Arabidopsis thaliana: one gene and its partner. The protein of the gene in region 2 binds, or shares a complex with, the protein of the main gene of each other region. Each region holds a gene or a part of one and is shown on either strand. Other genes may lie near its edges. A codon is read from its position in the direction of its gene.

Region 1 (4,076 bases), on a different chromosome or scaffold from region 2:
ATCCTAAAAGAGCCACACGTGTTTGGCTTGGTACTTTCGAAACCGCCGAAGATGCGGCTCGAGCTTATGATCGAGCCGCGATTGGATTCCGTGGGCCAAGGGCTAAACTCAACTTCCCCTTTGTGGATTACACGTCTTCAGTTTCATCTCCTGTTGCTGCTGATGATATAGGAGCAAAGGCAAGTGCAAGCGCCAGTGTGAGCGCCACAGATTCAGTTGAAGCAGAGCAATGGAACGGAGGAGGAGGGGATTGCAATATGGAGGAGTGGATGAATATGATGATGATGATGGATTTTGGGAATGGAGATTCTTCAGATTCAGGAAATACAATTGCTGATATGTTCCAGTGATAAATGAGCTCTTTCTTGTTGGCGTTTTTTGGAGTTAAGTGCAAGAAGAGATTGACACTGTGGCTTGTTTAAAGTGAACAAGAACAAGAAAGCATGTAATTAGTAGTCTCATTCTTTTGTTTGTGGTCAATTCTATGTTTATCTCATATAAAATCTGAGTTAAACCTATCTGAGGAGAGAGTAAATAAAGAGGTTAAGAAACCCAACATTGGTCTGAATTATAAACGTAAGTGTCAACGTTGTTTATAAAGGAGAAAACTATAATTGGTGACAAAAGACATAAAGAAAAGATGTCTACTCCTACAAAGCATCGCGTGCAGCTATTCGACAAACAATGGCATCTCCCAGAGAGGAAATTCCGAGCTCTTGGCTAGTTATCTTGTAATGCTGAAAACATGAATGTATTTGAGTTTATTTCTGTAACATTGGAAGCGAAATAAAAGGGTTATCAACTGTTACCAAAACATTACCTTTAGTATATTGGCTTGATTTGCATGTGTCTTCAATTCCTCCAAATCAATCTCCTTCCCGTTGATCAATTTCGCCACCTCCTCCATCTGGTTTTGATCTCAAATCATGTCATGGTTGATAAAAAAAAACCACTAAAAAGAGCAACAACATGGATAGTCAGCTCTTAGATGGTTGAAAAGATTATAACCTCAACGGGAGAAGCATTGAACCGGGCAGCTAGAATGTAAGTAGTGTTCTCAGAAATCCCACATCGTTTCAATGATTCTGTAATCTAGTTGAAGAGGAAAAACAACATTAGAGAAGTTGAGTGAACTGCTATTCTTATTACAATTTACCAAACCAGAGAAACTTGATAAATGAGAGAATCTCAATACTCAACTAACTATCTCATCTTAAACCAACTCACAACAGCTAAAATCTACTGCATTAAATCACCATCTAGTTATAGCAGACCTGTAGCTAAGGCTTGAACAACTGAACTAGACACACTAACTGGTCACTAGCTAACTAACTGCTCTCTAACCAACTCAAAACAGCTAGAATCTGATGCATTAAGTCTAATCTAGTTATAGTCGACCTATAGCTAAGGGTGGAACAACAGAACTAGACCCATTGTTTATCAGAAGTAGACAGGAATAGGTTTAAGAAGGACAAGAAAAGATTGTACTTACGTGCTTAGATCCTGAGTAATTGTAGACAAGCTCAGAATGAAGAGTTCTGGTTGATAAGGAATCGCGTGATTTGGAGATAAGTGCTTTCTGAGCAGCAGCCAATAGAGGAAAAATGTCTGGAATCTGATGATACACAACAAAATTCGTTAAGATCAGGAACTCTTTAGTCCTTACGAAAGTTGAAATAAATGGAGTAAACAACAACGAAAAACGTACAAGTGATGCATTGAGAAATGAGACCTCCAGCTTCAGACTTCCGTCAAGCATTGAATTCAAGAGCTCCCTGAATACGACATAAACCCCCTAATGTTAGATTCACTAGGAAGATAAAGAGAGAGGCTTTAGCTATGCAGAGATTAAGTAAACAGATTTTCCCTAAACCCATAAGTCTCTAACTAACAAACAAAATCGAAAACGCAATTTTCTTTCTCATATAACCAAATCACGAATTGCTTAAGTTATGGAAAAAGGGAGAGAATTGAAAAATCGAGAGAAGGAGCGTACTTGGAGTTGGTGACACCGGAGAAGAGGGAAACAGAGAGAGTGTTTCCACGGTCAAGATTAAAAACCTTCATAGCTTTAGCCGGCGGCGAAAAAGAGGGCAAGATTTTTAGGGTTATTACGACTTATTACTTCGCCGGAGATCGACACACATTCGGCGAAGTCAGAAGAAGACTAGTCAAAGATAAACCCTTCTTCTAGAAGATCTTCTTTCTCTTTCATAAAATAAAAAAAAATAAAAGACTACATTACATACGCGCCAGGAAGGGGTCGAACCTTCGACTTTCTGCTTAGGAAACAGACGCTCTATCCACTGAGCTACAGGCGCTCTTTACGCTACCAAGTCGCTAATAACGTAGTATTAGACACTAAACAAGTCTTTTTACCATTTCGATTATCATATTACGACGTCGAAGCAGGGTATTAGACTATCAGTGTGATAGTGTGTATGTTAAAATCTCATCAAAACAAACATCGAAATCGGACGTACTTCAACATTGAATTTCTGATTAAATTATCGATGTTTGCCAAATATCTTTTGAATAGTAGACACTTAAGATTTCAAGTACCCGTAAAAAGGATGGAGTAACATACTCAATAGAAAACTAATTAATCTATTCCATCCAGCCATATCCCTTAAGTGGAATCAATGATCACAACTGCTTCGTTACAAGACAACACCGACATTTTGACTAACGATGTTGGATTTAGTGTACGAGCTATGAAAGTGGAAAGGAGCACGAAGTTCACTGAACCTTGTTCTTTACTATTATTGTGAATCCAAGATCCGACCTTGTACGTCGAGCCTTTGTTTTCTTACTTTATAATAATGTTTTTTATGCATAAATCATCACAACAAGACAAACCTTTCTCAGATTTTGTGAACTGCAAGAGACAACCTTTGTTCACTATATGGGAGACCATAGCAGAGAGACATACTCACATATTTATATATTTTCTTCCCTTTTTCTTCCCATTATCCATGTGAGAGATTAATGTGATCGATATTGCATTACTTACATCAAATTAACTAAGTTTAGCTTTAACAAAAAAAAAAAACTAAGTTTAATATCAAGATTCATGATTTTTGTAACTCAAAATCAGCAATATAATTTACTCCTTATATATTACTATATAAGGTTCAATCATATAATTGGTACATGAGGTTCTTAACATTTAATTTAGCCAACATGAACCTATCACCAAGTTAATTGGCAAGCTTCAAATAAAATGAAACTCCATAGTCGAGAAAAACAATATAGATACAATACAATAAGAAGAGTAGAGTTAATTAATTATATCCGTTTTGTCTGCAAAAATGGGGGTTCTTGGTTGTTGGGGTGAAGATGAAGAGCAGCGTCTGTGTATAATTTACTGGCAACGGCTTGTGGGAAACCTTGTTGCGTGGGAACTCAGATTAGTAGTAATTACACTGTGCAATTACAGCTATCATTGTCACATCATGGGTCTTTTGAGATGTGTATAAAGTTTTATACTACTATATATTATGAAGTTAACTATTTATTAATTACTCAGCCTCCAGTTTATCTGTTATATATGTGTTTGTTCTTTTCGATTATGATTTAAACAAATCTTGTAAAACCTTTGGAGACTTTGGAAAGCCAACAAATTATTACTATTTTTTTATCCCCATTTCTGCTAGAAGCATAAAACAACTGAGTTTGGGAAATTTCTCAGAAATTGCATGCTACTATTTTGGAAATGCATGTGCATCAAATTAAAACGTTCATGTGCTTAAAACATCCCTTTGCGTCAAATTAGGGTTTATCTTCCAACAATTAAATACAGGTAGTATTGTTTTTGTGATCATAAATGGCTCTTCTTGACAATCAAGAGACTAAGCTTTAACTTTTCCCCGCTGTTGATCCCAAAAATGAGCTATTAAGTTATTATTGAAGATAACTTACATATATTAAGAATCTAATCTTAGATCTCTATACTCAAAGAGACAACACTTATGTCTCTTTGTGTGTGTGTGTGACTATCAAACACAATAATAAATATATATTTCTATTAAATTAATATAAAAGAAGAAGATATGACTCCAAAATGTATCATATAA
Region 2 (4,310 bases):
TGCAAGATTACTCTTCCTTGGTAAAAAAAAAACAATGGTAACACATTAGACCCTAAACAGTTCAGTCAAAGGAACTTACATTGTGTCGTCAAAATGCAGCTAAAAATAGCCCAAAGTTTAATTCTTTATTGTTTAAAATCCTTATCTAACAAACATTGCTTCTCACAGTTTCTTGTTTTTTTCTTTTCTTCAAACTATAATTAGAAAGACATCGAGAACATATCTTAATACTTGAGAAACTAAAATCCCCTAAATTCCAGCAATTTATCTGTCCTTTCAAAGCAATTTTAAGATTAAGAGAACCATAAAATTAAATTCCATTACTCTCACACAATTTTTGATTATATTATAACATTTTGTATGTTGGAGCAAGATGGCTCCCTTCATCGCCTTATTCACCGGCCTTTGTGGCTTCAAGAAAAACGCTCGGCCATTGGGAACGATTGAGACGATGTATCAGTCATCTCCTCGGGAGACCAAAGAAAGAGAACAAACAAATAATGACTTGCAGATCACGAAAAGTGATGACTTGTGGAACAAGGAAAGCGATGATCGAGATACTAATGCATTTAATGACGATAGTAATGAAGCGGACTCTGAGCTTCCGTTGCCTCCAGGAAGAAAAGGAACAATACGTGGAACATATTCGTGTAACAACATGGTGTTAAGAAGATCCTTGTCTACTAAGAAGAAACTGAGTGCGAGCCTAACGATCCAAATACCGAGATCATTGTCCATGGTCCTCAAACGTGACAAGGAGGAGGATAAATCTGTGAGGAAGAAGAAACTGAACGCAGATAATTCGATTCTGGTACTCCCAATTATACTTGGAGAGAGATGTAGGGTTCTTGATGCGGAAGAAGGAGATGAAGATCAAAGCCAAAGAATGGCAGAGAACAGAATATATCGTCCTAGATCCATGAGTTCGATCTCGATTTCGAGAACCAAGTCGAACATCGATATGAATGCTATTCCCGTAGAAGTAACATCAGAAGAACAAAAAATCTGATATTATGATGTCTAAAATGAACTAGCTTCATGGTGATTAGGGGTTAATTACTTAATTGTTAAATCTCATGAATCTGAGTGACATCATCGTGAAATATTTCGATGGAGAGTGATATCACCAATTTAGTTTGAAGGATCATGATAAAGAAAAGTACTCAATGACTTGGAAGCTTTTTTGAAACAAGTAGAGTTGTAATATAAATACCGGTTCACAAAAATGTAAACGAATTGATTTGGTTTCATATATAGACATATAGCTAAAGTGCATTTGGCTAAAGAATTTCACTATTAGACATTGTTTCAAATCATTAAAATTCACAAGCCAACATATTTGTCTTTTTTTAATACATGTAAAATTTATTCGAAAAAACGTTTTTACATCAAGTGCAACATTTGGTAAATAAATTGCGTACAAATTTCCAAGTTTTCATGGATCTATCTTCTATCTCATTGTTAACGAATAGAGGAGATCCAGTTTCAGACTTGTTTGTCGAGTTATCGAAGCAACTGTACGTGCTGGTGGTATTGGTGTCTCTCCAAATTATTAAACTCTCTAAGATGCATTCATTGTAATTTTTATTTTTTTTCTGATGAAGATAATTTTATATTCATCCAAAAAAAACTATCTAATTTGGGTAAAAATTGAGAATGACTTAAGGATTATTTAGAAAATAACTCAAAATGTATCAAATAGGGTTTTGGAAATTTTCCAAACCGAACGAACTAATCATAAACAATGCTGTTTCTGTTTTTCAATTCAAATTTGGATAAACCAAACAAAAACCGGTTCATGTTCTTATAATTTCGGTTTTTGATTCCGGTATGCACCTAGATAACCGGAATCAAATTAAAATTAAAAACCCTAGTTCCGACCTCGTCTTCATTGTTCACAAACGAGTCGCCGACGACAAACTCAGGCGAAAATTTCGCAGCTTCTCTTCCTCCGGCGGTGAAACACAGGTGAGCCGCGAGCCTTTCCGAAAGAGAAGCTTCTCTCTTTCCAACGAAAACAGGCGCCGCGAATATCTCTCTCTTCGTCTCATTCTCCGGCGAACACATACGAGCTCCTCTCCGTCACCACTCAGCTTGCAGGTTCAATTCGACGATAATCTTATGCAATTTAGAATTTTTGACCAACTTGGCAAGCTTGTTGTGTTAAATGATGAAAGGCAGATTTTTTGGTCAATGGTTGTTGATAACTGAAGTAGAGATCTTTAGTTGGAATAGACTTAAGCTAGAAGCGATTATTGTGTGGCCTTATTGCTAGAGCTTCAAAAACAATTGCTAAAGTCTCATTCTTTATGTTGGTTTTGTGTAGAATCCTGAGAAATTTAGAATGGATTGTGAGGAAAACGTTAGGGATGAATCACTCGTTTTGATTAAACAAGGAGCAGAAGCTGTAAGTGTCTCTGTGCGAATCTGTGTATATGTTTTTCTGTCAAGATTAAGTCTTTTCAGTTTTATCTATAGAGGGTGTTCGAGTCTACATTTGCTGGAAGAAGATCCATCGTGAAAGAACGTTTCTCGAAGAAATATAGACATCCGATTTTGGATGCAAAACTCACACTTAAACGCTTGAATGCGGTTGGTTTACTCCGCCTTTTTCTTGTTTCGTTGATGAAGTCATGAGAAAGAGAAGTAAAAATCGAGTATTTCATCTTATATGTGCTTATTTGTTGAATATAGGAAGCTAGGTGTATGACAAAGGCAAGAAAGCTCGGGGTTTGTACTCCAGTCCTATATGCTGTGGATACTCTGCTTCACTCTTTAACACTTGAGTACATTGAGGGGGTCTCTGTTAAGGATATTTTCCTTGAGTTTGGGACCAATGGGGTTGTTGAGGAACGTTTAGATGATGTTGCTGCTCAGATTGGGGCTGCAATTGCTAAGCTCCATGATGGTGGCTTGGCTCATGGTGATTTGACCACATCAAATATGTTAGTCAGAAGTGGAACAAATCAGCTGGTAAGTATCTTCAGAGGTTGTGATAAAGTTCTCTTGATTAGTTACTTATGATTCATGACCATGGATATGTCTTCCCTCAGGTACTAATTGATTTTGGCTTGAGCGTCACATCGACCTTGCCTGAAGACAAAGCTGTTGATTTATATGTACTTGAAAGAGCCTTACTCTCAATGCATTCGTCATGCGGGAATGTGGTAAGTGTGATGCAAATCATAACTTCACTACTTTTGCTGGGTCTGTTGTTGTTGTTGTTGTTGTTGTCTCACTGCGTATTTTGTTGTCAATTGTAGATGGATCGTATACTGACGGCGTATAGGAAGTCCTCAAAGCAATGGTCAGCCACGTTTAACAAGCTCGCACAAGGTTCTATCACACTCCTCTTCCACCTCCTCTTTTAAAACCAACTCTTCTTCAAACCTTTAGAAAGTCTTCTTTTGGTATATGCAGTGAGACAGCGAGGGAGAAAGCGGACTATGATTGGATGAGGCGATGAGCCAAGTTCTCCAGTGGTACTGTCCTTAAAACTTTGACCACAAAGCCACCCAAAATCTGTCCTGTATTATTATTCGATAGCGATCCAATTTGTCGATCAGTATTAAGGTATCAATGCTGAGATGTGTGATCGATTTTTTCAACCAGAAAACGATTATAGAACATATGTCAAGCAGGGCATTCTCATATAAGTACTTAAGAAAGCAACATTATTGATTACGGTTAGAAAGTTACTATATTTATCGATTATGTCAACGAACATATGACAAATAAAGAATGTTACAACACCATTATTACAAAACGTTTAACTACCTTTTATTTGAGCATATAACGGCTTCGTTCTCTAACCATTAACTTTTCATATATAACAAGAAAAAATAGATAAAACCTAAAAGTAATTTCAAAAAGAGTTAAATGGAAAACAAGTTGGTTCTTGGAGCCTTGTGTATATACCTTGTGTTACAAGGCACCTGCGGCGAGGAGAACAACCCTCTGATTAACCATTACGCTGATTACGAAACGATTCATCCTAGCGAATACTACAGCTCCGATTTCGAACTCAAAGACGGAACCAATGTGATCTTCGAAGCCATCAATGAATTGAAAGGGATCAAGAAACCAAAAGCAGGCTTTATGTGCAACTATGGCAAAAAACAATGGACAAGGTCTCTTCCGGGAGACATTTTCTACGCCAAGTTCTTCTTTTACAGCATTAATCCAAACGCAAAGGTCGTTCAACATTGCCATTTCCGGTCAAATTTGGGTTATGTTGATGCCTATATCAAGATAACCCCAGCGCTCGGACGAACATGTCCCGGTTACAGATGCGTTTTAGCGGTTAGACG

Evidence for each region.
Region 1: the proteins of AT5G26110 (region 2) and AT4G34412 are in contact, whole or in part, in a cryo-EM structure (PDB 8K20), measured with the Arabidopsis thaliana proteins. Residues at the interface, in NP_001331017.1 of Arabidopsis thaliana: Thr27, Phe28, Ala29, Arg31, Asn58, Ala61, Arg62, Thr65, Arg68, Lys69, Leu70, Gly71, Val72, Cys73, Val76, Leu77, Tyr78, Ala79, Val80, Asp81, Thr82, Leu83, Leu84, Gln151; in NP_680763.2 of Arabidopsis thaliana: Asp7 (codon at 2,049), Phe51 (codon at 1,603), Leu54 (codon at 1,594), Ala55 (codon at 1,591), Gln58 (codon at 1,582), Ile62 (codon at 1,570), Arg66 (codon at 1,558), Lys147 (codon at 731), Thr149 (codon at 725), Gln151 (codon at 719), Glu152 (codon at 716), Ile155 (codon at 707), Ser156 (codon at 704), Asp160 (codon at 692), Val163 (codon at 683), Cys164 (codon at 680), Ala167 (codon at 671), Ala168 (codon at 668), Asp170 (codon at 662), Ala171 (codon at 659), Leu172 (codon at 656).

What each region holds. Positions count from the first base shown.
Region 1 is NC_003075.7:16,452,449-16,456,524, forward strand, and holds AT4G34412 (EKC/KEOPS complex subunit tprkb-like protein), read right to left. Parts: upstream 2,186-4,076; 5' UTR 2,068-2,185; coding exon 1,997-2,067; intron 1,776-1,996; coding exon 1,709-1,775; intron 1,616-1,708; coding exon 1,493-1,615; intron 1,093-1,492; coding exon 1,009-1,092; intron 908-1,008; coding exon 821-907; intron 813-820; exon of another isoform or gene 738-812; coding exon 651-737; 3' UTR 512-650; downstream 1-511. Other genes in the region: RRTF1 (redox responsive transcription factor 1), read left to right, coding at 1-350.
Region 2 is NC_003076.8:9,117,387-9,121,696, reverse strand, and holds AT5G26110 (Protein kinase superfamily protein), read left to right. Parts: upstream 1-1,855; 5' UTR 1,856-2,100; intron 2,101-2,232; exon of another isoform or gene 2,233-2,326; 5' UTR 2,327-2,344; coding exon 2,345-2,407; intron 2,408-2,478; coding exon 2,479-2,592; intron 2,593-2,694; coding exon 2,695-2,973; intron 2,974-3,053; coding exon 3,054-3,167; intron 3,168-3,263; coding exon 3,264-3,336; intron 3,337-3,420; coding exon 3,421-3,458; 3' UTR 3,459-3,790; downstream 3,791-4,310. Other genes in the region: AT5G26100 (uncharacterized protein), read left to right, coding at 3,880-4,310.